Linked DNA regions of Caenorhabditis elegans. The protein of the gene in region 1 purifies or fractionates together with the protein of each later gene. This does not show direct contact. Each region holds a gene or a part of one and is shown in the gene's direction. Other genes may lie near its edges.

Region 1 (6,232 bases):
TGCTCAAGCTGTGGCTCGTCTCTATTCGGACTCCTCTTGGAGAAATTTCAGAGGCGCTGCAGAGGGAACCACGCAGTTGTACAAAGTAAGGAAATTGTTTAATTTCATGAAAATCGATTAATATAAAAAATTCTAAATCGAATAGAAAATTTAAATGAATTTAATTTCAGACATCTACTGACAGTTATCGTCGAGGATTTGAGAAGGGATTTTCATCGGGTTGTACGAGTATTGCCAAGGAAATATTACAAGCATTTCGAGATCCATCCAAAATTGATATGAACATAGTTCTCGAAGTATTATACAGAAATATGGCAATTCCGCGAGAGGAACGACTTACCGTCAATACTCAAAACGGAATCTCATCCGACACCTTAGCGGCGGTTGAACTTTTTCAGCAGGTTAGCATTTTTTTTTGCTTTGAAATCTAACATATTGTTTAAACCCCTGAAAAATCGAAGAAAAGTTTTATGTTGAGGTTCTCATTTATTTTTTTGTTTTTCAGGCACTGAACCAGCCGCAAGTCCCACCGCTGAGCACATTGAGCCTATTGCCACCGACAACTAGAGAACAGACGACAGACACTTTGGACGAGTTTCTCGCTAGTCAGGTGAGCATATTTTATCTATAACTTTGAAAAATACATACAAAAAAAACGACAAAAAAAGTAAAAATTCCTGCTTCACACTTATTTTTTTAAAGGTTCAACGCCACCGAAAACGTCAGCGATCACCAAATAACTCAACGACATCTCCAACGTCACAAATGAAACGTCAACGACGTCTTTAAATCTCTCAAAAATCCTCATAATTCTCACTTTCCAATCTCTTTTATTAGAATTTCCCTTCTTTTCTAGTAGAAGAAAACTGAAAAACGTTGCCTTTGACACCGGTCTTAAAAACTCAAAAATGACTGAAAATCCCTTTTAATCACTGCTATTATTACTTGTTTTTGGAAATTTCGAAAGCATCGGGTCTTTTGAATCTCATGGTACTAATGCATAAGTAGAAATCTATTATCTAACCTGAAAATGCTTTCGTTTTCAAAAATAAGGAAATAAATTTTGACCCCAAATTCAATTTTACTCAGATTTTTTTACTTCTGTACTGGTTTTCTCTTCTCTCTCGCTTCCCCTCTCCTCCAAAATACTCTTTAATTCTCGAATTTCCAGTTGATTTTCAAACTTTTGAATACTTTACTCGGAGTGATCTTCTCTTTTTCGCGAAATTTTAAATTGTTTCTTATTACAAGTTCTAGCAAGTTTCAGGGTTTCATTCTCTGTGTAGATTTCAACCGTCGATCATTTTGTAAATAAACCGCCATTTCCGATTTTTCCTGTCTTCATTAATGCAATATTATTCTCTTTTCTAGTGTTGTTTCTCATTAATCCTCCCAATTGTAATGAAGCTATGAAATTTCTGATTTTTATATTTTTTGCAATCAGGTTTAAATGGTTCACAAGCCGAATACTTGTTAAATTCACCCAAACGGAAATAATTTTATTGAATTCTTGTCTTTATAATTCTACATTTAGTCAAATAAGCGTCTTCAAAGTTTAGTTTTTTTCTTATTTGTTAGAATATATGACTTTCAGACAAAAAACCCCGACAAAATGGTGCGAAAACTGAAAACCCATGAGCAAAAGCTGCTTAAAAAGACTGACTTTATGTCATGGCAAGTCGATCAGCAAGGAAAACAAGGAGATATGCTCAGAAAGTTGGTGTAAATGATAATAGCTCTGGAGTTTTATATTTATTTTTTAGATTCTATGTGAAAAAAAGAGAGCACTACGCTTTGTACAACACTTTGGCTGCAAAGGTTACAGTTCAAAAATCGGATAAAAATAAATATTTCTAATCTTGAAAATTTTCCAGAGTCGTGAAGTAGCTGATCTTATCAAAAACCTATCAGAATCGGATCCCTTCCGATCAAAATGCACAGAGGATATGCTCACCAAATTTTACGCAGCTGGACTTGTGCCCACTAGTGATACGTTGGAAAGAATTGGAAAGGTTTTTGTCCTGTTTCGATTTTAATTACACAAAATAAAACATTTTTAGGTGACTGGAGCATCATTCGCTCGTCGTCGTCTTCCAGTCGTGATGAGAAATATTGGAATGTGTGAATCAGTCAAAACTGCGTCAGATCTCGTGGAGCAGGGACACGTTCGAATCGGAACGAAACTGGTTACCGATCCAGCATTTATGGTTACACGATCGTCTGAAGATATGATCACATGGACGAAAGCTTCGAAAATCAAGAAACACGTCATGGATTATAATAATACTCGAGACGATTTCGATCTCATGGATTAATTTTTGTTTGTTTTTAAATTTTGATTTGTTGCTGTTGTTGTTCTCGTTGTTATCAATAAACATTTTCAGATGTTATTGAATTCTAAAATGTATAAAAATATTCACAAACTTACAAAAGCTTTTGAAATTTCATTCAAAAAGGCGGGTCTCGCAGCGAAATGTAGAGCTTGAAGTCGACATGAAAATGAATTCATGTTTAATAGAAAAACTATAAAAATAGAAATCTTCATTAAATTACTTAAATATGTTCTTCTTTAAATTAATTAAGCTGTCACTTGTTGCTCTTCCTCTTCCTCTTCTTCTCTAATTTTTGGTAATTCCTTTGGCGAGTGTTCACATAGTTTCTCAATCATTGTCATTTCATTTCCACGATCTGTTTTCACAGCCCATCGAAGGCGATCTCGTAGAGACTTTAATTAATAAAAAATTAGTTATTATACAGTTGTAAAAAAGATTTGACGAAAAAGTACGGTACCAGGTCTCGGCGCGATTAGACATCTATTGCTCAAAAGAGTTTACACCATACCACTGTGGCATTCTGGGTTCTGCTTTGTAACAATTTTAATCGACTTTAATATACTCGTTCTTTGAATAAAGTTATTTTCGTTACAGTCTTTTTTTGATTTTCTCGGCATTTATCATTTATTTTGAGTTTACAATGTTTATATAATTTTTAAGCAGGATAAGCTCTGCACATTTGTTGGTTAGTTTTGTCGGTTTCTTTATTAAACTTAAACTAAATATAAAAAAGTTACCTGTTGAGTATTTGCCCAGAAAGATCCATTTAAAATAGTATCCACTTTTGAAAGTTTTGACAAATCTGCTGCCAATTGGAATAATGAGTCTGAAAAGTTCTCGTGAGACAACTAAGAACAACCTACTTACTACTTACTCAATGAAGCCTTTTGATTTTCAATTTTTGCAGTTAAACTATTGTAACTATCCATTGCATCGAGAAGCTGCAAAACTCCCATAAATTAATTTCAAATTATTCACGATTTCCATTACTTCTCTATATGATTTATCAAACAGTGCATCCAAAGAAGGCAAATTTCCCATATTTCCAGTTTTACACGAATTCAAAGATAATGCTTCAATTGCTCGAACTTCTTTTGTTCGACAGTCAATTTTCTTTGAATCTTCCTTTTTCTTCGTTTGAAGCTGTAATATTTTTTGAAGGATATTATTTTTTCTTCTACTTAAAAAAACTTTAATACCTCTTGAATTTCATCCAATGTTTCTCTCATGTACTCAAATGGAATAACTCCTCCAATTTCAATTCCCGGCGCTGATTCAGCAATTCGTTTTACCAATTCCCTTGATGTTATTTGTAATAATGAAATATGTTCTGATTGAATACGGTAACGATCTGGAAATATTTCATTCTCCTCGTACTTCGAAGTTTCAAATTAACGCTTTCCATCTGGGCACAAGGAATATCGAACAAATTCCAAATTCCAAAAATTTAATAAAATAGGCTTCGGGCAGGCAAGCTTAAGGTAAGTACGTAGGCATACCTGTCTATGCTTTATTGAAATGGAAGAAACTTACTTGACTTGTTGGCTGCAAACACTGAAACTGTCTTATCAGAGCCATGAAGAGAAAATCCAATTGCTTGTGGATTTTCAGATTCGAACTCTAAAAATCATTGTTAAGATTTGAGTTCTATAAACATCGCACCTTAAACACTCAAAACTATCGTTAGTTAGCGCTGGTATTTTTGGAAAATCACTCATAATAGTCCATTATATACTAGCATCGTTAATATCATTAATAAACACTTCAAAAATTTTAAATAACTTTGAAAACGTTTGTCCTACAAGTATTCCAAAAAAAGTTAGTTGCTTGGCACATGTTAATTAATTTTCTATATTACAATAGTTATGCCTTTTGTCAGAATGAAGGAAAAATAGCTCACCAGAAAATAATTTATTCAGTGGCATAACCGATCCAGCTGTATCAATTGTCACTTTATATTTTGCATTTCTATCAATTTGTGATTCCTCAAACAATACTTTGAATGGCAAATCGATTGATTTGGTGACTGTTACTAAAAATAAAGTTATTGAACTATTTTAATTCGGTTAGTAATCTGAAATTACATTGGGTGAATGCGCAATGTGCTGCAATAGTGACTTTATTGCTAGTTGGAGATTTTTTGGATCCGACGTAAAATGGAATTTCAATAGATGCAGTGGACTCTGAAAGGTAAATGGATTATTAGAGTTTCAGAACAAAATAATTTTTTCAATAAATGTTGAATTGAGTTGCGCTTTCTGTAGATTCGAAAAGTATTAAATTTATGCAACAAAAATTACAACTTTATATGTTTTTAGATTTTTCCACTATCAACGTTTCCAATACTTTTTTTCAATTTTTAAATTTACCATAACTGTTTTTGTTCTTAGGAACAAGAGTTCAATGTAGAACATTGTTATAAACGAATTTGTTCCAGACCGAAAGTTTATGATAAAAACTTACTTGAAGTCCCCACATTAAGAATTACTTGTTTGGATGGAGAAGCACATTCCGATAGAATATTGATGTGAAGTTTAGAAACATTTTGAACTTCTGAGAATTCTACAATAAGGTTGCAGTATGGTGCATTGCTTGCAGCATTTGGCTCAATCTAAATTAATATTTGAATAATGTTCCAATGAACAAACTTACAGTTCGTTTACCAATTTCTCCAATGCTCAGCTTCATTTGAATTCCTTCTTTTCTTTTGATAGCTCCACCGGCTGCATCTGATTCCTTGATTTTTTGCTCCATTCTCTTATATTCTTCCATTCGTTCCGCGTAATTTACTATCACTTTGTCCTCGGGTAACTGTAATTTTTTTGCGATAAAAATAGTGACCGATTTGTTTCAATTACCATAGGTCTACTGTATCTGTTAAAATTACTTCTAGTTGACACTAATTTCGAATATTATATCTTAAGTCTAATTCTATTAATATTTGAACGAAGATAAAGCTGAATACATATTAGAAAAGATTGTGCAGCGCCAGTGTGAGAATTGTTAAAGACCACTCTTAAACAGTCAAAAATGAAAGTAAAACATTAAAAAAAAAGTTTAAGTATGATTCTTATATTCCAAAAATTTGGCATTTTGCCAAAACTATAATTTTCGAAAGCTAAAAATGATTTATCCTGATACTTGATAATTTTAAATTATAAATGGCCCTATATCACATCTATACAAAAAAAAATCTCACCCTATATAAATTTGGCTCGGTTCCAAGATATCCAACCACAACTTTACCGTCTGGTGCCATCATTGTAATGGTATTCTCATAGGATTTGCTGAAATATTAAAATTCTTATTTTAATTCTAGAAATGTCAAAAACTAACTTATAAGAGCAAACTAATAGTGCAACTGGTGACATTTGAGCATTACAGTTCCATACAAGTTTATTATCTTGAAATATTAGCAATGTATCGTCAGATGTTGAAACTATTAAACGATTGAATTGAGTGTTATCTGATTGAGAGTAAACATTAATAAAAGTTTGAAAATATATGAAATCTTACTAATCAGAAGTGATCTATAAAGACACATTGCCATTCCAACAGCTTCTAAACGAATCTGCCAGACAACTGATCCAGTTGCATTAAATGCAGACACGTGTCGGCGGCATAATACAATGGTTGTTGGTTTAGATCCTTCGGTTACTTTCATTTGTATTGCAGTATCACCCAGATTAAAAGACCAGTCATACTGAAAAAAAGAAGACTCAAATTTACTGTCAGTGTAAAGTCAGCATATTTGAAAAAATGTTCAGCGTTATCAAAATTCGACAGCTTGGGTTTATTATTTGTAATTAACTCAATACTTTTTAGTTTCCCGATGATATTGGACATTCGAAAAATATTCAATAGTCCACAGCTTACATTAATCTTTTTCTGCGATCCAC
Region 2 (8,185 bases), 5.2 Mb from region 1:
ATTCAGGAAAAAACTTTGAAATCAGGGGAAAATCTCGAAAAAAATCAAAAACAAATCTGAAATTTTTGGGGAAAACAGTTTTTTTTTACGAAAAAATTCAAAAATTTTGTGCAAATTTCGAGAAAATCCAGAGAAAAATGTGGTTTCTTGATTTTTTTCAAACAATTTTTCGAAAATCTCCAAAAAATCGTGAAAAACTCGAGGAATTGAAGGGAAAACTAGCAACAAAAAATCACAAAAATTGAGAAAAAAATATAGAAATCAGCTGAGAACTGGGGAAAACTCGGGAAAAATCTAAATTTTTGGGGGAAAATCAGAAAATTTTGGGGAATAACTTGCTTTTTTCGAGAAAAATTTCAAAATTTCGTACAAAATCCCAGAAAATTCAGAAAAAAAAATGCGGTTTTTTGATTTTTTTTCAAATAATTTTCCGAAAATTTCCAAAAAATCGTAAAAAAATCGAGAGTAGAATTCGGCTGAAAACCGGCAAAACTCGGAAAAAATCGGAAAATTTTGGGGAAAAAACCAAAAAAATCGGTAAAAACCTGCTTTTTTTTGAGAAATAATTCAAAAATTTGTACAAAATCCCAGAAAAATTCTGAGAAAAATGCGGTTTTTGAATTTTTTTTTTTGCAAACAATTCAATTTTCCGAAAATTTTCAAAAAATCGTGAAAAAATCGAGAAATTGAGGGGAAAACTAGCGAAAAAAAATCACAAAAAATGAGAAAAAAAAGATAGAAATCGGCTGAAAACCGGCAAAACTCAAGAAAATAAAAATCTGAAAAAAGTCTCTAATCTCTTTATTATTTCCTAAACAACCGGGGTAATTTTTACACGAATTTTTAAAAATTTTTTTAAATTTTTTACAGCACACATTTTCAGCAGCAGCTTTTGCTCTTTTTAGCCATCATTGCAGCTCCAACTCTCGACCATTTATCATATCCGGCGGCTTCATTAAACCATTTTGCAGTTTCGACAACTTTGTCCAAATTGACACCAGTTTCAAAACCGTTTCCTTTCAAAAAATACAATAAATCTTCAGTTGCAAGATTTCCAGTTGCTCCTTTCGCATATGGGCAACCACCGAGCCCTGCGATACTTGAATCCGCACTTCGGATGCCTTTTTCGATGGAAATGAGCACATTTGCGAGAGCTTGACCGTATGTGTCGTGGAAATGAACTGCGAGTTTTTCGGCTGAAATGGTGGTGATTTTTTGAAATTTTTTTTTCTTTCGAAAATAATTTTTTTTCACAGTTTTCCCGACTTTTTTCGCCTGAAAATCAATCGATTTTTCATTGAAATAACTCAAAAAACGATAAAAATCTCAATTTTCGCTGCGAGACCCACAATCTGTGGGGAAATTGACCGAATATCATGATAAAAAAATTCAAAAAATTTTTTCTAGATTTTATAAGATTTTTTTTTGATAATTGAAAAAATCTCAGTTTTCCCCTAATTCCTATTTGAATTACCGCCAATCGGATTTGACCGATGGAGCGCGCTTGCATTATTGGAATTAATTAATTTTATTTATTCTCATTATTCGACTGAATTTCTTCATTTCTTCTGTTTTTTTTTGTTGGAAAATGAAAGAAATAAAAAAGACATATGCAAAATGTTTGTTAAAAAGTAACTGAAAATGCCTAAAACTGTATTTTTTTTGAATTCTGACGACGGCAAGCCTGAAATTAGTATATTTTACAGTTTTATAAATAAAAATATATTTTGTAAAACTGTGAAATATACTAATTTCAGGTTTGTCGTCGTCAGAATTCAAAAAAAATTACAGTTTAAGGCATTTTCAGTTATTTTTTAACAAAAATTTTGCATCTGTCTTTTTTATTTCTTTCATTTTCCAACAAAAAAAAAACAGAAAAGAAGAAAATCAGTCGAATAATGAGAATAAATAAAATTAATTGATTAAAATAATGCAAGCGCGCTCCATCGGTCAAATCCAATAGGCGAAAATTCAAATATAATTATGTAAAAACTGAGATTTTTCAATTTTCAAAAAAAAATCATATAGTCTAGAAAAAAATTTTGAATTTTTTTATCACGATATTCGGTCAATTTCTCCACAGATTGTGGGTCTCGCAACGAAAATTGAGATTTTTATCGTTTCGTGAGTTATTTGACTGAAATCGATTGGTTTTCATGCGAAAAAAGCCGGGAAAACTGCGGGAAACTACTTTTTTTGTAGTTTTTCACTCGAAAAATCGAAATTTTAATATAAAATATTTAAAAAAATCCGCTACCTGGCACACTTTTCAGCACCGTATCCAGCATTTTCGACACAGTTTTCACTGTTCCAACGCCAATAGTGTCGCCCAGCGAGACCTCATAACACCCAGATTCTAGAAGCTTCTCGGCGACTCTGGCCACCATTTCCGGCTGTACAGCTCCCTGATACGGGCATCCAACGACGACTGAAACGTAGCCACGTACTCGAATATTGTTCTCGAGGGCGATTTTTGTGACTTCCATGAGCTTTTTCAGACTATCTTCCACATTGGAATTCACATTTTTCAGTGAAAACGCGTCTGAAGCTGCTCCAAATACGGCAATCTCTTCGACGACTCCTGTTGCGAGCTGGAAACTTGAGAAATTTGCAATTTTAAAGGTGGAGTAGCGCTAGTGGGGAAATTGCTTTAAAACATGCCTATGGTACCACAATGACCGAATATCATGATTAAAAATTTTTAAAAAAATTTCAAAATTTTATATGATTTTTTGAAAATTGAAAAAATCTCAGTTTTTGCCTAATTCCTATTTGAATTTCCGCCAATTGGATTTGTTCGATGGAGCGCGCTTGCACGTTTTTAAATTTATTTATTTTATTTTTTGTTATTTTCCACCGATTTTTAATGTTTTCAGTGTATTTTTGCTCGAATTTTAGAGAAAAAGCCAAGATAAATTCAAATTTTCGATTAAAAAGCACGCTGACAGGCGTAAATCAGTGAAATTAATTAATTCAGGTTCGAAATCATTTAAAAGCGTTACTTTGTCATTTTTACGCCTGTCAGCGTGCTTTTTAATCGAAAATTTGCATTTATCTTGGCTTTTTCTCTAAAATTCGAGCAAAAATACACCGAAAACATTAAAAATTGGTGGAAAATAACAAAAATAAATAAATTTAAAAACGTGCAAGCGCGCTCCATCGAACAAATCCAATTGGCGGAAATTCAAATAGGAATTAGGCAAAAACTGAGATTTTTTCAATTTTCAAAAAATCATATAAAATTTAGAAAAATTTTTTGAATTTTTTTACTATGATATTCGGTCATCCCCACTAGCGCTACTCCACCTTTAAGCCCTAAAAAATCAATAAAATACCGCGTTTTTGAGGCCAGCGGCGTTTGGAACCAGAACCGGGTAGGAGACACCTTCAAATCTCCGATGTTTCTTGACAATTTCGTTGTGATCAGCCAACTGGGGCACCCATTTCGGTGAGACGAAGCTTGTCGTCTCTACCGTTTGAAATCCGCACTCTGAGAGCCGATCGATGAGCTCGACCTTGATTTCGGTGGGAACGAACTTCTTTTCGGCCTGAAATTAAGAAAATAATGGATTTTTTGCAATTATTTTGCAATTTTCCAGGATAAATTACCTGTAAACCGTCTCGCGCGCCAACTTCCACCACACGAAATCGATTTATTGCTGTGGAGTAGGCACGGTTGGCCAGTAGGCGATTGGGCAGCATTTTTTAGCGCGCCTAAAAATATAAAAATAAGGTTTTCTCCATAAACATTAAAATTCGAGCGGTAAAGCAGAAGAAAACATATGAATTGCTCCTAAAAACTGATGGAAACAATGAGAAACTAAAAGAAAAAAATTATTGAGATTTTTCGATATTTTCTGCGGTTTTTTACTGTAAAGTATCAATATTTATCGTTTAAACAATAAAAATCAATAAAAATCCAATAATTTCAGCTAAAAATCAAAGAAAAATCAAAGAAAAACATAAAAAATAGATAAAAAATAAATAATTTTTATTCGAATCCCAAAAGTCCGCAAACACCGCACACCACATTTGACGACAAATTGCACACATTTATTTATTTAATCATTTTTTATTTATTTTTCTCGATTTTTTCAGTTTTTTACTCGAAATTTATCAAAAATACATTAAATTTTCAGATGCTCCTTCGGAAAAGCATCCCCTACATCAAAATATGCCGAGATATAAGCGCTTCCGTCCGAAATAACAAGGAAATTGCGCAGAAACTCCCGCTCTCCGTGCCTCTGCCAATGGAAAACAACTCCAAATCAATAGAAAAAGGATGCCCGCCAATGGGAAGAAACTCGAGGGTTACTAGACTTCCGAACGGCCTGAAAGTTTGCACAGAAGACACTTACGGCGATTTTGTGACTGTTGGCGTCGCGATTGAGAGCGGCTGCCGCTATGAAAATGGTTTTCCGTTTGGAATTTCGAGAATTGTGGAGAAACTTGCTTATAATGTAGGCTTTTGATAGGAAAAATTATGGAAAATTGGAAAAATTAGAGAAAAATATGATGCAAATCGGGAAAAAATGACGAAATTTGAGTTTTCTCGGGCCAGTTTCGGATTAATTTTTACCCGTTCTCCAAAAACCAATAAAACTCAAAAAATACGTTAAAAAACAAACTTAAAACAGAAATTTGCAACAAAAATTTAAAAAAAAACAGGAATTTCTACTGAAAAAGCTAAATTTTCAAAAAAATAACTTTTTAAAAACTTGGTTGAGTACCAAAATCTGTGGAAATATTTTTAATTGACTCCAAATTTTCCCCTGATTCCGAATATCAATGTGAAAAAATTCAAAAAAATTTCCCTGATTTTATATTTAAGCTTGAAATCGCCGAATTTCATTTGTACCTCGGAAACACTTTTTTTAAATTCGCGCCCAAAAATATTCGCATTGGAGCGCGCTTTGATTGTCTTCATTTAAATAATTTATTTATTTTTCGCCGAGTTCAGTTTTTTTAAAAACCAGTTTCATTAATTTTTGTCGAAAAATATTTTTTCTTAGAAAAACCGATACAGATTCGACAAAAATTAATGAAACTGGTTTTTAAAAAAACTGAACTCGGCGAAAAATGAAGAAAATATTCAAATGAAGAAAATCAAAGCGCGCTCCATGCGAATATTTTTGGGCGCGAATTTAAAAAAGTGTTTTCGAAGTACAAATGAAATTCGGCGATTTCAAGCTTCAATATAAAATCAGGGGAATTTTTTTGAATTTTAATTTTTTTCACATAGATATTCGGAATCAGGGGAAAATTTGGAGTAAATTAAAAATATTTCCACAGATTTCGCTACTCAACCAAGTTTTTTAAAAGTTATTTTTTTGGAAAATTTAGTTTTTTCAGTAGAAATTCCTATTTTTTTCTAAAATTTTTGTTGCAAATTTCTGTTTTTGAAGTTTAATTTTTTGAAAAGAAAATTTTGAATTTCTACGCATTTTTTGGGTGTTTTTGTTTTTTGGAGAACGGGGGTAAAAATTAATCCAAAAATGACCCGAGAAAACTCAAGTTTTGTAATTTTTTCGAAAAAAAAACCCTACAGAGCCAAATTTGCCCCCACAAACCAAAAATTTCCAATAAAAAACTAATTTTTCACAAAAATAAATAAATATATATATATATATATCCATGAGAAAATATCTGAAAATACGGAAAAATTGAAATGTTTCAAAAAAAAACCCTTACAATTAAGAAATTCTTGAAACATATATAGTCGGGTTACTGTAGTAGTACAATAGTGGTACGGTAGGAGTACTGTAGGGTTACGGTAGTTTAGGAAAAATTCGTTATATACATAATATATATACATACTATATATCCAGTATACATAGTATATATCATATATATATAGTTTCAAGAATAACTTAAAGGTGGACTAACGGATAAAATTTTTTATGGCGGTTCAAAATTTCGAAAAAATTACACTGATTTTAGCTAAAATCTCGAATTTTGCCTATTTTTCGGTGTCACATCAGTCCGAAGTTGACTTTTTCGGAATTATCATCCTTTATTGCATATATTGGTAGTTTATCTCATTTAATTTTGTTGATTAAGGTACATTTAAAGCCGATAGGTGACCAAAAATCGTCGAAATTGGTTACCGATCGGCTTTAATTGTACCTTAATCAACAAAATTAAATGAGATAAACTACCAATATATGCAATAAAGGATGATAATTCCGAAAAAGTCAACTTCGGACCGATGTGACACCGAAAAATAGGCAAAATTCGAGATTTTAGCTAAAATCAGTGTAATTTTTTCGAAATTTTGAACCGCCATAAAAAATTTTTGAAAAATTTTTGAGCAGTTTCATCACGAAATTCGTTCATTTGAGAACATTTTGGGTCTATACGTTCAAAATCGTCCGAACCGTTAGTCCTCCTTTAATTGTAAGGTTTTTTTTAATTTTAAAAATTTCCAAAATAGTTTTTTTTTGAAACTCGAAAATTTGTTAAAACTAATTTTTCCCAAAAAAAATTGCAAAATTTCCAGTCATCGGAATCGTTCTCAAGCCGCGACGAAGTCTTTGCAAAACTCGAGGAAAACAGTGGAATTGTGGATTGTCAGAGTACACGTGACACAATGATGTACGCGGCGAGCTGCCATCGTGACGGAGTGGATTCTGTAATTCACGTACTATCCGACACTATTTGGAAGCCAATTTTTGACGAACAAAGTCTCGAACAGGCGAAACTAACAGTTTCCTACGAGAATCAAGATCTACCGAATCGAATTGAAGCCATCGAAATTCTCCTTACTGACTGGATTCATCAAGCGGCTTTTCAGAATAATACTATAGGATATCCGAAATTTGGCAACAATTCGATGGATAAAATTCGAGTTTCTGATGTTTATGGGTTTTTGAGCAGAGCTCATACTCCTCAAAGAATGGTTGTTGGAGGTAATTGTGTTGTACTTCACGAGGAGAGGTTTCGATTTTTTTTTGTTGAAAAATCGCAAAAAAAATGTACAAAAAAAACCGTTGAAAATTAGAGAAAATATGGAAAAATTGAGCTTTTTCAAAAAAAAAACCTTTTCGGAAAATTTTATAATTAAAAAATTCTTACAGTACCTTACAAGTACTGTAAAAACCTTAAAGTTACAGTACTTGACTTACAGTAATCCTACAGTACCCCGACCATATCCCTCCACTAACCAAAAAACAAAACCGCTTCAAAAGACAAAAAATCAACTTTTTCCAAAACTACAATAATCCTACAGTACTCCTACAGTACCCCCACCATATCCCTCCACTGAACCCAAGCCAAAATCCATTCAAAAGACGAAAAGTCTTTTTTTCCAAAACTACAGTAATTCTACAGTACCTTTACAGTACTACCACAGTACCCCGACCATATCCCTACACTGAACCGAAACCAATATCTCTTCAAAAGACAAAAAATCAATTTTTCCAAAGCTACTCCTACAGTACCTCTACGTTACCCCTACAGTACCCCGACCATATTCCCCGACTAACCGGAAAGCTATATCCCTCCAAAAGAGAAAAATCAATTTTTTCCAAAACTACAGTAATCCTACAGTACTCTTATAGTAGCTCTACAGTACCTCTACAGTACTACTACAGTACTACTACAGTACCCCGACCTTATCCCCCGACTAACCGGAAACCCATATCCCTCCAAAAGAGAAAAATCAATTTTTTTCCAAAACTACAGTAATCCTACAGTACTCTTATAGTAGCTCTACAGTACCCCTACAGTGCCCCGACGATATCCCTCTACCGAACCAAAAAACAAAACCGCTTCAGAAGACAAAAAATCTTCTTTTTTTTCCAAAACTACAGTAATCCTACAGTACTACTACAGTACCCCGACCTTATCCCCCGACCAACCGGAAACCCATATCCCTCCAAAAGAGAAAAATCAATTTTTTTTTCCAAAACTACAGTAATCCTACAGTACTCCTACAGTACCCCTACAGGTCCCCTACAGTACCCCTACAGTACCCCGACCATATCCCTACACCAACCAAAATACAAAACCTCTTCAGAAGACAAAAAACCATTTTTTTTTCCAAAACTACAGTAATCCTACAGTACCTCTACAGTACTACTACAGTACCCCGACCTTATCCCCCGACCAACCGGAAACCCATATCCCTCCAAAAGAGAAAAATCAATTTTTTTTTCCAAAACTACAGTAATCCTACAGTACTCCT
Region 3 (6,239 bases), on another chromosome or scaffold:
AGAGGTAGATCAAAACTTTTGATTGGTTGATCTTTTCCCGGGTTACTGTAGCGCATGACCGGAAGCCTCTCGAAAAGCAACACAAAAACGCCGCCACGAAAAGGAGAGAAACAAACAGAAAATGGGCAGCAGCAAACTCTACCAGGTCCTCGTTTTTTGAGTGCAGGAATTTAAATATCCAGCAAATCGGCAAATTGCAGGAATTCAAATTTCCGGCTAATCGGTAAATTGCCGGAATTAAACATTTCTGGCAAATCGGCAAATTGCCGGAATTGAAATTTCCGGCAAATCGGCAAATTGCCAGAATTGAACCATTCCGGCAAATCGGCAAATTGCCGGAATTGAAATTTCCGGCAAATCGGCAAATTGCAAGAATTGAAAATTTCCGGCAAATCGGCAAATTGCCAGAATTGGACCATTCCGGCAAATCGGCAAATTGAAGGGACTGTAATTTCCGGGAAATCACTAAATTGCCGGAATTGAACATTTCCGGCAAATCGGCAAATTTCCGGAATAGAAAGTTTTCATCAAATCGACAAATCGGCAAATTGCCGAATTTTAAATTTTTGGCAAATCGGCAAATTGCAGGAATTGAAATTTCCGGCTAATCGGTAAATTGCCGGAATTTAACATTTCTGGCAAATTGGCAAACTGCCGGAATTGAACATTTCCGGCAAATCGGTAAATCGGCAAATTGCAGGAATTGAAAATTTCCGGCAAATCGGCAATTTTTCGAAAATCAAAATTTCCTGCAAATTGGCAATTTTTCGAAAATCAAAATTTCCTGCAAATCGATAAATTGCCGGAATTGAAATTTCTGGCAAATCGGCAAACCGGCAATTTTTTGCTAAATCCGGGGTACTGTACTTTTTTAGGAAATGGGTTACGGTATTTGATCCTAAAAGCATTGGTGGGATCGGCGTTACTGTAATACATATATAGGAGATGGAATATAGTAGCTGTAGAAGAACTTTTGATAGATTCGGGGACTACAGTAATCCTACAGTACCCTCCACTGAGCACCAAGCCAATACCTTTTCAAAAAACGAAAATTCATGTTTTTCAAAACTACAGTAATCCTACAGTACACGTGCATCGACAAGTCCAAAACCAAATCCAAATTAAATACTATACAGAATTCTTCAAAACAAAACATACAAAGTGAGGTCTAATTTCGATTTCGCCCCCCGTGAGGGCATATCATCTGCAAAACTATATCCAGTTTTACACTTTCTCTCTGAAAAGTAGAAGGTCTTTTTATTACAAAACAGCAGAAAAGTAGCTGTGGTCTATTCTCCTTGAAGGCATCCTTTGGTGACTTCTGACTTTACAACTCGCTAGGTTTCAGAGATATCGAAAAAAGTTAACCTACAAAGTTAAAGAACACATTATTACGTGTGTATTGTTAATTGGTAAATTTTTGGTAATGTCAAAGACAACCGAGATATACTGTCTTAAAGTTGGGACACAATTCTGCAAGTTTTTCAAAACTTTGGCAAGTTTCTAGAAATTTCTAGAACTTTCCAGAATTAATTTCTGAAGTTTTTGAAGCTTTTCAAATTTTTTCAGACTTTTCCAGAATTTTCTAGAATTCTTTAAAAATTTTCAAAATTTTCCCTATTTTTCTCGATTTTTTTAAAAAAGTTTCCACAAAGTTTCCAAAATGTTGGAATTCTAGAAAAAGGAAAACACTATATTTTCCCAGAATTACAGTACCACTACAGCGCTCCTACAGTATCTATACATCACCACTACAGTATTACTACAGTACCCCTATAGTACCCCTTCAACACTACCACAGTAACCCTACAATATTACTACAGTGTTATTACAATACGACTTTAGTACCTCTACAGTACTACTACAATACCCGGACCGTATCCCTCTACAAACCACAAACCAATACCCTTTCAAAAGACGAAAAGTCAATTTTTCTATAACTACAGTAATCCTACAGTACTCCTGTAGTACCTCTACAATACAGTACCCCTACGGTACCATTACAGTACCCCTATAGTTTCTCTACAATACTGCTACAGTACTCTGACCGTATCCCCCTACCAACCCTAAACCGATATCCCTTCAAAAAACAAAGACTCGTTTTTTCCAAAACTACAGTAATCCTACAGTACTCCTACAGTACCACTACGTACTCCCATAGTAATCCTACAATGCCCTACGGTACCGAACTGTACCACTACTGTACCCTAGCACTAACTTCCACTTACCCGAACCCAATTTCCCTTCAAAAATGAAAAACAGGATCTACAAAAATACAGTAATCCTACAGTACTTCTACGGTACCATTACAGTACTCCAATAGTACCTCTACAGTACTACTACAGTACCTTGACCGTATCCCTCTACCAACCCCAAACCAATGTCCCTTAAAAAAACAAAAACTCATTTTTTCCAATACTACAGTAATCCTACAGTACTCCTATAGTAATTTTTTCACCAAAAAAACTATAAATTTTGAAGGAAACCAGTACGAGAAATGGTCACCAAACTGGTTAGTCAAAGTATTTTAAGGCTGAGGAATGGGTTATATCAATCGTGTGCGTGTGTGTGTGTGTGTGTCAACTTAATCGAGAGTAGTAGCTGATTCTATATTTAGTTACTATGTGTACTTGGCCGGTACTATTTTTAGAGTACTAAGGGGGGAGTCGCGGTTTTTTTGCTTTTGTTCAAATGGTTTGTTTGTGTTTTGCGTCTGAATTGCCTACCGTTTAGACTAGCAGGTAGGCTCAGAAAATGACTGCCTGCCTACGCGCCTGCCTACGCGCCTGCCTGCCCACGCGCCTGCCTACCAAACTAGTTCAACTCCTCAAATTTTTATGGTAAAAAACGCAACGATTCTAGCAAAAACACACCAAAACTCGGGGAACCAATCAGCGACGCCTACTGCCTACCTCTGATCGCGCGGGAATTCAAATTTTTGAATGTAGCCTTTGAACTTTTTTCGCCCAAAATACCGACTTTCAACTTCCGGGTAAGCTCTCTATAAATGAAACTGTCTAAACCTACAATTTTATTGACAAGTGCGCACTATTTTTAGGGCTCGGCGAGCCACCACCTGGTCAGACTAAATATTTTTCATTTGGTTTGTTGATTTTTGTCGGGGTTCTCCTCGTTTTTTGTCCCCCATTCAAATGATACTTTAAAGAAACATTTGAAGACGCTTTTTTATGAGGGGACAGCTGCAACTGCAGTTGTGCGGCCGAGCGCGATTGCTACCTCATGTTGAAAAAAACTGCAAACTTCTAAAAAACTCTTTTTTCTTTTTTTAAACTAGTCTTATAATGGCCATATTTTCTCTGTGAATGTTAAATTTTTTGGCCAAATTTGCAAGCGCGCTCTATTGTACTTTAGAAATTCTGAGCTTGAAATACAATTAATATATAATTAACCAGCCGTGGACCGCACCTCCGGCGCGGCCCCCGACTTCTGGGGCTGAAAATTAATTTTTTATGAAACTACCGTAACCCTACAGTATTCCTACCGTACCACTATTGTACCACTACAGTAGCTCGACTATATCCCTACACTAACCCTAACTCACTATCCCTCCAGAAGCCAAAACTTCACAAACAAATAGATAAAGTATATATTGCACGAAAACGTATACAAACATTGAAAATCGGGGGAAAAATTTGTGAAGGAGACAGAGAACGCTCCGACTATTGCTTCTTGCTTCTCAGATTTAATGACATTGCTTTTTTGATTTCGCGGAAATAGCAAATAGTCCATTTTGTGCGGAGTTTGGTGCAATCATCGGGAATTCACATTTGAATCACCGCGCAAAACGAGAATTGCGTCAAGGGCACCGAGAATGCGCTAGCAGTCATCCTTGCGCTATCTTTGATTTTCGAAGTTTGAATTATTTTAATTTTAAAACTATTTTTTAATTTTTCTTTGGATTTCATATTCAATTTTCTAAATTTTCAGCAAAAATGAATGCGCCAGCTGCTTTCGAATCATTTTTGCTTCTCGACGACAAGAAATTCTACATTGAAAAAGACACAAAGGTGAGAAAAATGATACTCAAAACGAAATGATAAAATTAATTTTCCTAGGTTCCAAATGCGGCGATCTTCACAATCATGAAGGAGGATCACACGCTGGGAAATATGCTGAAAATGTTAGAAAACCCGCATAATTTCGAAGATTTTCGATTTAATTCCTCAAATTTCCAGCCAACTTCTCAAGGACCCAGAGGTGCTGTTCGCCGGCTACAAGAACCCTCACCCGTTGGAGCACAAGATCTTGCTCCGAATCCAGACAACCAACAATACGACGCCAGCTGATGCTCTCACAACGGCCATAACCGATTTGGTGGGAGAACTCTCGTTGCTCGAGCATCGAATCGACGCGGCCATCAAAAAGTGCACTCAATCCGGCGACCAGGAGCGTGGATATAACTGATTTTTCACTTTTTCCTTACTGATCTCTTACTCTGAACTTTTATAAATTTTAAATTACGCTTTTTTCGCTTTTTTCTGCGTTTTTTTTCTCGAATTTTCTGGGTTTTTGCCCATTTTTTATTTTTTGAAACACTAAAATTCCCCCAAAAGCGCCCCCATTTCCCTCAATTTCCCTCAGATGACCGCGCCACTAATCCGTGTGAGCCGGAAGCGAACCGCAGATCCCCACGATGCTCTGATTCTGCACACCAAACGTGCAAAACACGGCGGCAATCCGCTGGTTTTCACGCTTTACAAGGCCGCCGGCAACGATCTGGAGCTCAATGGAGCCCGTGTGCTGGATCTTCCAACTCAGGAACATGGGATGGAGTTGGCTGACGAGGAAAATCCACTAGGATTTGTGAAGGATGAAGCCGTCGGGCTCGTTGGAGAGGTCGAGAAGAACGTTAAAAAGCCGGCGGAGCAAGTTTCGGTGAGCGCTGAGCTCACGGAGCCCGTGGAGCGCGCAAAAATTGTATTTCCAGCTCAACGGCCGCCTACTACAGCCCGTCACCGACGGCGGCGGCGCCGCCGCCGGCAGCAGTGACGACGTCGTATACGACTACTACGCGATACACGAGAAACGGGGCAACCCAGAAGTAGTGGGAAACCTGGAGCAGGACATCGAGGGAGCCGATTTTCGGTTCGCCAAGCGTGATGAGCTGGATTTGGGCGACGAAGATGACTCCGATGGGCCGCCGGCTGATGATGAAGACGATTCGAATGATGAGGATAACTGGCGGAATGACTATCCCGATGAGGAATCCTATGATGAGGTTGGAGCTGCTGAATTCTGTGAATTTTCCATTGAAAATCTTCAAATCCCCAGATGAAAATGTTGATTTTCAGGACAGCGACAATGGGGATCCGTACGGAATATCGGAGCCCGACCATTGGCACGCCGGCGAGGAGGCATACTCCGACGAAAGCTTCCACAGACGGCTTCAAAAGTGTGTAAAATTGGATTATTGCGCTGAAATTACGGCTTAAAACCTGGAAATTGAGGCAATTTTCACAAAAATGCTTAAATTTTAGCTAAAAGTATTGAATTTAGCTATTTTTCCTCGTAAATTTCTGAAAAATCGGCTAAAAATTCTATTTTCCTTTTTTTTTTTTGCGAAAAACTCGAAAATTCCGGTTAAAATTGCTCATTTCTCTGGAAAAAAAAGCGGCTTTGATGTATTTTTCCATAATTTGTAGTTGAAACCTGAAAATTTAGCTGAAATTATCTATTTTTCACTGTAAATTTCTGGAAAATCGTCTCTAAAAATCCTATTTCTCCACTAAAATCGCTCATTTCTCTGGAAAAAATGCGGCTTTGATGTAGTTTTTCCATTAAAGTTCTCAAATTTCAGCTAAATGTAGTGAATTTGTGGTTGAAACCTGAAAATTTTTAGTTGAAATTAGCTATTTCTCCCTGTCAATTTCTTAAAAATCGGCTAAAAATTCAATTTTCCCACTAAAATAGCTCATTTCTCTGGAAATAATGCGGTTTTGATCTAGTTTTTCCATTAAATTGCGCAAATTTCAACTGATTTTGCCAATTTTGATGCTAAAAATTGAAAATTTACATGTGAAAGTTTGAAAATTCGGCCACAAAACCCCGGTTTTCCTCCAATTTTTTGAAAATTCCGACTAAAATCGCTTATTTTTACTAACTTTCAAGTAATTTTCATCAATTTAATTATTAAAAACTTGAAAATTAGCTATTTCAACCTGAAAAATTCTGAAAAGTACAACTTTTTGGTGATAAAATGTGGCGGTTTTCAATTTTTA
Region 4 (10,906 bases), on another chromosome or scaffold:
TGGAAGTGGTTGGTGTAGTGGTGAGAGTTGTTCTATCCAAAATCACTGGTTTTTGGTTTGTTTTTTCCTTAAAATCTGAATATATTTGAATATTACCATAATTTCAAGGTGCTCTTTGACTGAACCCTTCGTGGATCCACGTGACTGTCCGAGAAATCCGGCGAACCAGTTGAGCACCCCGCGTACCGTGCTCCGGTGCTCACCAGTACTGCGTCTCTCTCTCTCTCTCTCTGTGCTCAAAAACCCCCCGGCCCTCTCTCCCCTTTTGCAAATAGGCAGTGTATATTGAGGAAACAATAGGGGGCAAACTTTGCCTCTCCTTTCACTGTCCCATACACACACACACACACACACACATACTCTAATTCCTTCCATCATATCTGAGAAAGAGTTTTCGAGTTTTGGGGACCAAATTATTTAGGATTTAAGTTAACGATAGACTAGAGGGCCTGCGGGCCCGCCAGCGGTTGCTCCGGTAGTCGGCTTGGTGTCAGAGTGTCTCATTTTCGGTTTAATCCGCGTAGATCTACAAAAAATGCGGGAGTTGATACACAGAGTTCACAACTGATTTCACATGGTTAATAACGTGTTGACGCCACATTTTTTGGGCAACAAAAAATTCCCGCATTTTTTGTAGATCAAGCCGTAATGGGACAGTCTGGTACTACGTGCTACTATGCTAGTATGCAGCGGCATGAATTTTGCAAAATTAAGAATCCTTGCGGTATGCTCATGGTGTTCTGGCCTTGGTACAACAGCTAGATGAGTGCAAACGCGCTCTACCGAACGAACCCAAATTTGACCGGTTAGGAAATTTTCAATCAAAAAATTTCTTAATAGAAAAGATCGAGAATTTTTTTGCGATCATTTTTCATATGCATCGCAAAATCAAATTTGGGGTTAGTTTTCGAGATAGCAGCCAATATAGTTTTCAGACTGAGTATCATGAACCAATCCATCTAGTTTCTGTGCTACCGTGCCGTCCTCATTGAATTTTTTTCGCGCTCCATTGACAATCGCTCTCCGGACATGGGAAAGTCGTGTACTCCACACGGACAAGTGCATTTAGTTTTACAATCGAGCCGCGACGCGACACGCAACGCGCCGTAAATCTACCCCCAGATATGGCCTGGCCTAGTTCGGCAAAAACTCTTCCATTTCAATTTCTGAGGGAAGCCAGACACATCCGTGAATTTTTGACCATATCCACGTTTTTCTTGTCAAATAACAATAGCATATTCAACAGGACAATTGACAATTGAATTGAGATATGAGAAACAAGAAAAAGTAATTTGACTCCTGACTTCTTCTTCTTCTTTTTCATAGAGTGGATGGTGGATAGTGACATACAAACAGGGCACACAGTTTCGTGTTGACACTCTCTCTCTCTCTGGACAGAACAATATAAGACACGAACATGAAAAGGAAGATGAACAATGTTCCTGCAAAAAAAAGTTGAAGCTTGGAAGAGTTGGAGAAATTTTCACCAAATCAGCAATTGCCGGAAATGAAAATTTCGGGCAAATCGGCAAATTGCCAGGATTGAAAATTTCCATCAAATCGGCAATTGCTGAAAATGAAAAATTTGGGCAAGTTGACAAATCGGCAAATTGCCGGAATTGAAAATTTCCGGAAAATTGGCAAATCGGCAAATTGCCGCAATTGAAAATTTCCGCTAAATTGGCAAATTGCCGGAATTGAAAATTTTCCGGCATATCGGTGAATCGCCAAATTGCCGGAATTGAAAATTTCCGGAAAATTGGCAAATCGGCAAATCGCCGGAATTGAAAATTTCCGCCAAATTGGCAAACTGCCGGAATTGAAAATTTTCCGGCATATCGGCGAATCGCCAAATTGCCGGAATTGAAAATTTCCGGTAAATTGGCGGAGTTGAAAATTTCCAGCCAATTGGCAATTTCCGAAAATTAAAATTTCCGGCAAATCGGCACATTGCCAGAATTGAAAATTTCCGGCAAATTGGCAATTGCCGAAAATTAAAATTTCGGGCAAATCGCAAATTGCCCGGAATTAAAAATTGCATTTTGCCGATTTGCCGAAAAAACGACAATTGCAGAAAATTGTGGTTTTGACATTTTTGGAAATTTCAGAATTTCAACATTATTTGTTTTAAGTGGATCCGTCTTTTTAAAAGTCTCTTTAAAAACTTTCGCAAACGGCAAATCGGCAATTTGTCGAAAATGGAAATTTTCGGCAATTTTGCTCGTTTATTACATGTTTAATCCTAAATTTCGGTATATTTTCAGTCGCTGGGAACACAAATTTCATAAAATTTCGCTTTATTTTGTGTTAAAAACTAAATTTTCTCAGAAAAATTCACATTTTAAAGGAAATTCTTCAATTTGAACTTCCCGCTATTTTTATACTGTCTGTTTTATCAACAGGGCGCGTTTGCACTTTTCAACTTCTGGCTTTTTTCGCCTTTTTTAATCCATTTTTTCACATTTATTGATCGAAAATCTTGCGGATAAAGGCTATTTTTTCAAGATTAAATTAATAAAAATTTGAAATTACTTAAATTGAATCCTAAAATCTGTGAAAATCCCAAAATAATACTCTCAAATCGGAGCCAAGCCGTCAATACATAGAAAAAATCCAAAAAACCTTAAAACTGCTGATTTTTCCACTTTTTTCTACAATTTTCCGACACTTTTATAGGTTTTCCATGCCCTAAGTACAAATATGAACGGGATTATTCGTTTTTCTCCCCTCTCTGGCACTCTTGTCGTCTCTCGCCCTCTCACTTACCCCCGCTGTCTCGTTTTCCCATTTCTCGGTGAAATTTTGAACCAATTTTTTGGTTTTTACACTTATTTTGACGATTTTTCCAGTATTTTCGTGTAAAAATTGAGATTTCTCGTGTTTTTAACGTTATTTTATGTGGTTTTAAGTTGTAAAACTTTTTTTTGGGAATTTATCGATTTTTAAGGTAATTCGCTGCAAAAATGACGAAATCAAAGTCAAAAAAGGAGGATTTGATCCCGGAAATCGGGGATTTCACAAAGTTTTTCAAAAGGTTGGCATAATTAATCGAAAAAAATATAGAAAAAAAATTTAAAAAATCAATAAAATGTTGATTTTTCAGTCGATCAAAATTTTCCGACCAAATAACCGATGTTATTTCGAATGTCTACGAATGGTCGACATCACTGGAACCTTCAGAAGACAATCTTCCACTTCCATTTGTTTCGAAAAACGAAGAAGTCGTTTGGAGTTATCTGAAGCATCAGAATAAGCAATTAGATGGAATTAATAAGAAATATAAGGTGCTTATTCGCGGGATTTTGCTCGAAAAATCCTAAAATAATCTTAAATTCCGAAAAAACACAGAAGAAAATCGAAAAAATCGATTTTTAAAGTTCTATTTTTCAATTTTGGCGAAATTCCCTCCAATTCCCTCCAAAATGAAGAACGACCAATCAGCGATTAGCACCGCCCACTTTTGAACCAATAAGAGGAAAGGGGCGGAGTTCGAAGGTGCTGATTGTTCAGTACAAAAAACGGAGGAAAAACGAAAAAAAATCGATTTTTTTTTCGAATTTTGGTTAAATTCCGTTTCCGACCAATCAACGATTCGCTCCGTCCATTTTTGAACCAATCAGATGAAGTGGGCGGAGCTCAAAGACGCTGATTGGTCGTGCAGTCCTTATTTTAAAGGGAATTCAACAAAATTTTAAAAAATCGATTTTTAAAACGTGATTTTTCAATTTTGGTTAAATTCCGTCTTCGACCAATCAGCGATTCGCTCCGCCCACTTTTGAACCAATCAAATGAAGTGGGCGGAGTTTGAAGGCGCTGATTGGTCGGGCAATTCTTATTTTGGAGGGAATTCAAACAAGTTTGAAAAAAATTGCGTTTTTAAATTTCAAACTAAATTTTCGGGATTTTTGAAAAAAATTTCTAAAAATCCCGAAAAAAATGTCCTAAAAAATTTCTAAAAATTCCACAATTTTCAAAAAATCTAGAAATTTTTAGCAATTTCCGAAAAATTTCTAAATTTCCAAAAATATTGAACTTTTTTTGAAAATTTTTGAAAAAAATCGAGTTTTTTTTTCTGAATTTCAGGCTATTTTTTGGAGTTTTTTTTCACTTTTTTTTTCCTCAAAATTGCTTGAAAATGCTCCGAATTTCAGGGATTTCTTTCCGAGTTGATTGGAAAATCGCATATTCGGGTGGCGGCGAAAATTCAGGATTCTGAAGGTTCGGAAGATGGTTCTGATGGCTCCGATGGCGGCTCCGAAGAGGAGCTCGATGATGATGAGGAAGAGCTGGAAGATGAAGAGCTCGAGGATGAAATGATTGACGATGAGGATGAAGCCGATCTTTTTAATTTAAGCGAGAGTGATCTGAAGACGTTGGACGCTGATTTGAAGAAAATGGAAGAAGAAGAAGCCGGAGAAGAGAAAGAGGAGGTGGAAAAAGCCACAGAACAACCGAAAAAATTCAAGAAATCCATTGTGGACGATCAGTTTTTCAATCTTGACGAGATGCACGATTTTTTGCAAAAAACTGAGAGAGCTGGAGGCAAAAAGGCCGCTCAGGATGAGGAAATGATGTTTGAGGATGAAGTATGTACCTGGATGGCTGAAAATCTGCAAAATTTGGATTTTTATGAGCCGAAAAGTGCCAAAAAGTGCCCAAAAACAATTTTAAAAATACACACTTTTTTCCACAAAAAGTGCGCGAAGAAATTGCAAACTCCGCCCCCCTTTTTCCCGGCCAGAATTCGTAATTTCGAAATTAGAGTGCAATCGCGCTCCAACGCCAACACAACACAAGTATTGCCGGAATTGTTAAATTTTCGGCAAATTGGTAAATTGCCGGAATCGATAATTTCCGGCAAATCGGCAAATTGCCGGAATCGATAATTTCCGGCAAATCGGCATAATTGGAAATTTCCAGCAAATTGGCAATTGCCGAAAATGAAAATTTTGGCCAAATCGGCAAATTGCCAGAATTGGAAAGTTCCGGCAAATTGTCAAGTTGCCGGAATTGTTAAATATCCGGCAAACCGGTAAATTGCCGGAATTGAAATTTCCAGCAAATCGACAAATTGCCGGAATTTTAAAATTTCCGGCAAATTGGCAACTTGCCGGAATTGAAAATTTCCAGCAAATCGGCATATTGCCTGATTTGTGAAATTTCCGCCAATTTGCCGAAAATGAAAATTTTGGGCAAATCGGCAAATTGCCAGAATTGAAAAGTTCCGGCAAATTGTCAAATTGCCGGAATTGTTAAATATCCGGCAAACCGGTAAATTGCCGGAATTGAAATTTCCAGCAAATCGGCAAATTGCCGGAATTGCAAAATGTCCGGTAAATCGTAAATTGCCAGAATTGAAAAGTTCCGGCATATCGACAAATCGCCGGAATTGTTAAATATCCGGCAAACCGGTAAATTGGCGGAATTGTGAAATTTCCGCCAATTTGCCGAAAATGAAAATTTTGGGCAAATCGGCAAATTGCCAGAATTGAAAAGTTCCGGCAAATCGGCAAATTGTGGTTTTGCACAATTTTTTGTTGTTGGAAACTTCATATTTTCTTGTTCCAAACGAGACCCAATAGGCCAATTAGCGATGGAGCGCGATTGCACCTCAGTTTTCAAAAACCGCCTCGCTGCCATAATATATTAATCTCGATGAAAATTCCCTAAGAAAATGTGTGTGTGTGTGTGTTTTTTTCAAAATTTCAATTAAAAAAAAAAAAAAATAATAATTTCAGGATAGCTGGGACGGAAAAACCGACTACACGTATGAGGACTTTTTTGGATCTCGTGAGACAGTTGCTGAAACCGAAAAAATGAATGGAGAGAAGAAAAAAATTGAAAAAGATAAGAAACGGAAGGCTGGAGATAAAGCTGATTTATCACTTGATGATGGGTTTGTAGTTTGTAGTTTGGAGGAATTGGAGAAAAAAACGGAAAACCACAGAAAAAAACGAGAAAATCCCCCAACCAATCAGCGTCTTCAACTCCGCCCACTCCACCTGATTGGTTGGAAAGTGGGCGGAGCGAATCGCTGATTGGTCGCGGTCTCATTTTGAAAAAAATTCGGCCAAAATATTGAAAATCTGCGTTTTTTAGTTTTCAAAAAATGTAGAAATTCAGCAATTTCCGAAAATATTTAGAAATTTCTAAATTTTTGGAAATTTGAAATTTTTTTTTCACTTTTTTTTCGCCAAAATTGATGGATTTTTCATTATTTTGCGATTTTTTTTTTCGTTTTTCTCCAAAAATACTGTAAAAATGTAGAAAATCACTAAATTTATCCGAAAAATCACGTTTATTTCAGCTGAAAAAATCAAAAAATATTTTTCGAATTTTCTAGCTGAAATAAATGTAATTTTCCGGATAAATTTAGTGATTTTCTACAATTTGACACTATTTTTCAATGAAAATCGTTGGAAGCACATGGTGCAACATGACAAAATTGTAAAATTGCCGAAAATAAGTGAAAAAAATTTAAAAATCCCAATTTTCAATCTTTTTTCTAGGAACGCCGAAAAAATTGCGAAAAAAGTTGCAAAACGCGATGTTTTGAATTCCCTCCAAATGAGAACTCATCGACCAATCAGCGACTCGCTCCGCCCATCTCTGGACCAATCAGACGAAGTGGGCGGAGTTCGACGACACTGATTGGCCGGGGAGTTTTCATTTTGGGGGAATCCAAACAAAAGTGAAAAAATCGATTTTTAAAAACGTGATTTTTCCAATTTTGATCAAATTCCGTCTGCGACCAATCAGCGATTTGTTCCGCCCTTTTTTGCACCAATCAGGGTGTGTGGGAGGAGTTTGAAGGAGCTGATTGGTCGAAATGCTAATTTTGCGAATTTTTCGCAAAACTCGGAAAAATCCAACTTTCTGAAACTACGACCAATCAGCGATTTGCTCCGCCCACTTTTGCACCAATCAGGGTGTGTGGGCGGAGTTTGAAGGCGCTGATTGGTCGGGGAGTTTTCATTTTGGGGGGAATTTGAAATTTTAAAATCCAAATTTAAAAAATCGCCTTTTTTGTGATTTTTCCGAATTTAGGACTATTTTTTAATAAATTTTTAAAGCGAAAAATTCAATTCAAAAATGTTCTTCCAGAAAGAACAAAAAACGCGTTCGTTTCGCAATGGATGAGGAACCTGAAGAAGAAGAAGTTGAAGACGAGGAGCAAGAAGACATTAATGATGAAGAAGAGCCCCCAGAGGATGAGCCAGTGCTCCTCGGAGCCGACCTCGAAGAGCCGAAGGAAGAATCGGCGTTTGCCAAGCGTCAGTCCAAGATGAAGGAACGAATCGCTAAGCTTGAGGAGGAGAATTTGGCTCCAAAATCGTGGGAGCTCTCCGGAGAGGTTGCCGCCGATCAGAGAGATCAGAATACCCTGCTGGAGAAGCATGTGGATTTTGATCATGGAGCAAAACGTGCTCCAGAGGTTACCGAAGAGTTTACAGGTACGCTGATGATGGCTGGAAATTGGAAATTTTAGAAGAAAAACTATGGGAAAAGCGAAAAAAATCGGGAAAATCTCACTTTTTGAAACTGCGACCAATCAGCGATTAGCTCAGCCCATTTTTGGACCAATCAGATGGAGTGGGCGGAGTTTGAAGGTGATGATTGGTCGGGGAGTTGTCATTTTGCGATTTTTTATCAAAAAAAATCGGGAAAATCCAACTTTTGAAACTGCGACCAATCAGCGATTAGCTCCGCCCATTTTTGGACCAATCAGATGGAGTGGGCGGAGTTTGAAGGTGCTGATTGGTCGGGGAGTTGTCATTTTGCGATTTTTTATCAAAAAAATCGAAAAAATCCAACTTTTGAAACTGCGACCAATCAGCGATTTGCTCCGCCCATTTTTGGCCCAATCAGATGGAGTGGGCGGAGTTTGAAGGTGCTGATTGGTCGGGGAGTTCGAAAATTGAAAAATCACGATTTTTTTCTTTTCAAAGTTTTGAATAAAACAATTTTTTCGGCAGGAAATTAGTTTTTTGAAAAGTTGCAAAAATTTTATAAACAAATTTATTAAAATTGTATTAAAATTAACACAGAAAAAGAGGCGGAGCCTAATTTCGCAACCTTGCCGCACGGTTTTTCCTCTTTCTTTTTGTTGGTTTTTTTCCAATGAAGTTTCGATTTTACTTGTTTTATTTTCTTTCGAAAAACGAAAATAAAACAATTAAATTCAAAAATTGATTTAAAAAATGAAAACCGTGCCACAGGGTTGCGAAATTAGGCTCCGCCTATTTTCTGTGCGACAATGCTGCTTTTTGTAAAATTTACGAATGGAAATCGCCAAATTTCAACCATAAAATAGGCAAAGAGAGCCTCCGTAACACGGAAAAATTGGCGAAATTTGAGATTTGAAACCGTCGCACAGAAAAAGAGGCGGAGCCTAATTTCGCAACCTTGCCGCACGGTTTTTCCTCCTTTTTTGACCGGTGTTAATTTTAATATCCTCATAATAGCATTTTCATTCGAAAAAGAAAATAACATAATTAAATTCAAAAATTGATTTAAAAAAATTAAAACCGTGCCGCAGGGTTGCAAAATTAGGGGCTTCGCCTATTTTTCTGTGCGATGCTGATTCACGACGGATTGCTCGTAAAATTTCAACCATAAAATATGCAAAAAATAGTATTTTTTTCGCAAATTTCGAGGCTTTAGCTTAAAAATGCCGTTTTTTTTTTCAAATTTTAAGACGAAAACTGCCTCTTTTTCTGTGCGATGCGCAAAATTTTATTTTTTTCTAAATTTCAAATATAAAATAGGCAAAAAATAGCTGATATGACATGGAAAAATTGGAAATTTTCGAGATTTTAGCTTAAAAATTCCGTTTTTTTTTTTTTTTTTTTAATTTCAGCCATAAAATAGGCAAAAATAGAGTTTTTTTCCAGACCGCCTCGAGTCACTTATCAAGCAACGAATTCGTGATAAAGCCTGGGATGATGTGATTCGAGTGAAAAAAGTCGAAGCGAAAGGCGCCAAATTCGAAACTGAAGCCATCGAGAATCAAATGAATCAGAAAACTTCCTTGGCTGAGGTTTATGAGAAGGAATATCAAAATTCGACTGGAAATTCTGCAGATGGAGCAGCAGGAGCCACGAAGCCGAATGAAGCTCATGAAGCTATAAAATCGAAGATGGGAGATCTCTTCCGGCTAATTGATGCGCTAACTCATTTCGAGTATAAACCGGATCAAGCTCGCGAGGAGGTGAAAGTGGTCTCAAATATGGCTGCTCTACGTGTGGAAGAAGTCGGAATTACAGCTTCAACGGAGGCTCAGCTTATGGCTCCAGAGGAGATTTCGAAGAAGATGAAGGCGATTGAAAAGAGCAAGGATGAGAGAGACGCGACTGATAAGGCACGAGAACGTCGGCAGAAGAAGGCTAAGCAGAGGTCGATGCTGGAAAAGTTTGGCGAGGAGCGAGTTTTCGGAGAGCAGAAGGCGGTGAAGCTGGCCAAGAAGGAGAGGAAGGCTGGGAAGGAGAAGGGCGGCGGGGTGGATAAGATTAAGAGCTCGAACTTCTTTGCGAAGCTTCAGGAGACGGTGGCTGCTGAGAAGAAGGATGGAGCGGTGACGAAGAAGAAGAAGAAGATTGTGAAGAGATTGAAGAGTGATAAGAATTCGGCTGCTATTAAGCTTTAGTAATCGATTATTTTGTTTTTTTTTTTGTTTTTTGTTTTTATTTTTCTATTTTTCTATTACTGAAACACAAAATTCAAAATTGTGCATCATGTTTGACGCGCAAAATATCTCGTAGCGGCGAAATGACTACTGTAGTGTCGATTTACGGGATCTCGATTTTCGAAAATGAATTTATTTTATATGCAAAAAAAATACTATTAAAAGTATAGTTATCGATTCTTGAATTTTGCAAAAAAAAAAATTATTCTGTCGCACAGAATGTAGGGCGGAGCGTAGCTGCCGCACGGGGTTTGTCTCCGCCCCTTTTCCACTGTTTTTTTTCTCGAAGTTTCTAGTCTTTTTCTTTCTTTTTTTTTTGGATAAAGAGAAAAATAAAATAATAGTAAAATCGAAACTTTATTGAAAAAATCAACAAAAAAAAACAGTGGACGCTCCGCCCTACTTTCTGTGCGACAGAATAATTTTTTTTTTTTGCAAAATTCAAGGATCGATAACTATACTTTTAATAGTATTTTTTGCATATAAAATAAATTCATTTCGAAAATCGAGATCCCGTAAATCGACACCACAGTAGTCATTTCGCCGCTACGAGATATTTTGCGCGTCAAATATGTTGTGCGATACGCATTCTCAAAATTTTGTGTTCCCCGTAATATTTTTTCATTGTTACACCGCGTTATTCTTGTTGTTTTTTTTTTTTTTTAATTTTTACTTTGTTTTTTTGAAACGTTTTTTCCTTTAAAAAATTATAATTCTCCATGCTTTTTGTTGTTGTTTTCTATTGAAATATTCGGTACAGATTTACCGATTTTTATATCTTTGGTTTTTTTAATTTTAAATGTGTTTTTTTTTTCAACTCTTGGCGCAAATTTTCTGGCTTTTGCGTCTCGAAACGACATATTTTTATAAAATAAAAATTATAGTACTCTTTAAAGGTGCAAAATTTGTCGCTTCGAGACACCGGGTACCGCGCGTGGTGTGTTAGGCTGCCCCATTACGGTTTGATCTACAAAAACTGCGCGGGTAATTTTTGCCCAGAAAAATGTGACGTCAGCGCGCGCTCTTAACTATGCGAAATTAGTTGAGAACTCTGCCGCATTTTTTGTAGATCTATGGTAGATCAAATTCGGCGTAAAATCCCCTAATTTCCCCAATTTTACAGGGTTTTAATCGTCGCCAATTTTCTCCACTGAATCTCTGAATCTCTGTCTCATTTTTCGAATATTTCTCACACACCCACCACCCATCTAAACGTACAGA

Evidence for each region.
Region 2: the proteins of C48B6.2 (region 1) and mppa-1 fractionate together in Caenorhabditis elegans (co-fractionation; one large-scale study listed by BioGRID). This does not show direct contact.
Region 3: the proteins of C48B6.2 (region 1) and rpb-11 fractionate together in Caenorhabditis elegans (co-fractionation; one large-scale study listed by BioGRID). This does not show direct contact.
Region 4: the proteins of C48B6.2 (region 1) and Y75B8A.7 fractionate together in Caenorhabditis elegans (co-fractionation; one large-scale study listed by BioGRID). This does not show direct contact.

What each region holds. Positions count from the first base shown.
Region 1 is NC_003279.8:6,915,172-6,921,403, forward strand, and holds C48B6.2 (U3 small nucleolar ribonucleoprotein imp3), read left to right. Parts: upstream 1-1,594; 5' UTR 1,595-1,612; coding exon 1,613-1,716; intron 1,717-1,763; coding exon 1,764-1,818; intron 1,819-1,874; coding exon 1,875-2,012; intron 2,013-2,060; coding exon 2,061-2,315; 3' UTR 2,316-2,390; downstream 2,391-6,232. Other genes in the region: haps-1 (Essential protein Yae1 N-terminal domain-containing protein), read left to right, coding at 1-85, 171-401, 506-610, 703-789; bbs-9 (Protein pthb1 homolog), read right to left, coding at 2,579-2,725, 3,071-3,159, 3,208-3,274, 3,324-3,476, 3,533-3,684, 3,867-3,953, 4,234-4,365, 4,418-4,516 and 6 more. UniProt on the Caenorhabditis elegans protein: Component of the U3 small nucleolar ribonucleoprotein. Required for the early cleavages at sites A0, A1 and A2 during 18S ribosomal pre-RNA processing.
Region 2 is NC_003279.8:1,747,010-1,755,194, reverse strand, and holds the start of mppa-1 (Mitochondrial-processing peptidase subunit alpha), read left to right. Parts: upstream 1-4,139; coding exon 4,140-4,460; intron 4,461-6,499; coding exon 6,500-6,908; intron 6,909-8,185. Other genes in the region: Y71G12B.10 (hydroxymethylglutaryl-CoA lyase), read right to left, coding at 880-1,196, 2,258-2,591, 3,336-3,548, 3,610-3,702. UniProt on the Caenorhabditis elegans protein: Substrate recognition and binding subunit of the essential mitochondrial processing protease (MPP), which cleaves the mitochondrial sequence off newly imported precursors proteins.
Region 3 is NC_003280.10:14,056,137-14,062,375, forward strand, and holds rpb-11 (putative DNA-directed RNA polymerase II subunit RPB11), read left to right. Parts: upstream 1-3,948; 5' UTR 3,949-3,953; coding exon 3,954-4,028; intron 4,029-4,076; coding exon 4,077-4,141; intron 4,142-4,196; coding exon 4,197-4,425; 3' UTR 4,426-4,488; downstream 4,489-6,239. Other genes in the region: W01G7.4 (putative RNA polymerase II nuclear localization protein SLC7A6OS), read left to right, coding at 4,603-4,896, 4,949-5,239, 5,313-5,413. UniProt on the Caenorhabditis elegans protein: DNA-dependent RNA polymerase catalyzes the transcription of DNA into RNA using the four ribonucleoside triphosphates as substrates. Component of RNA polymerase II which synthesizes mRNA precursors and many functional non-coding RNAs.
Region 4 is NC_003281.10:12,149,952-12,160,857, forward strand, and holds Y75B8A.7 (U3 small nucleolar ribonucleoprotein MPP10), read left to right. Parts: upstream 1-2,947; 5' UTR 2,948-2,963; coding exon 2,964-3,034; intron 3,035-3,103; coding exon 3,104-3,284; intron 3,285-4,151; coding exon 4,152-4,586; intron 4,587-5,738; coding exon 5,739-5,896; intron 5,897-7,104; coding exon 7,105-7,454; intron 7,455-8,894; coding exon 8,895-9,646; 3' UTR 9,647-10,304; downstream 10,305-10,906.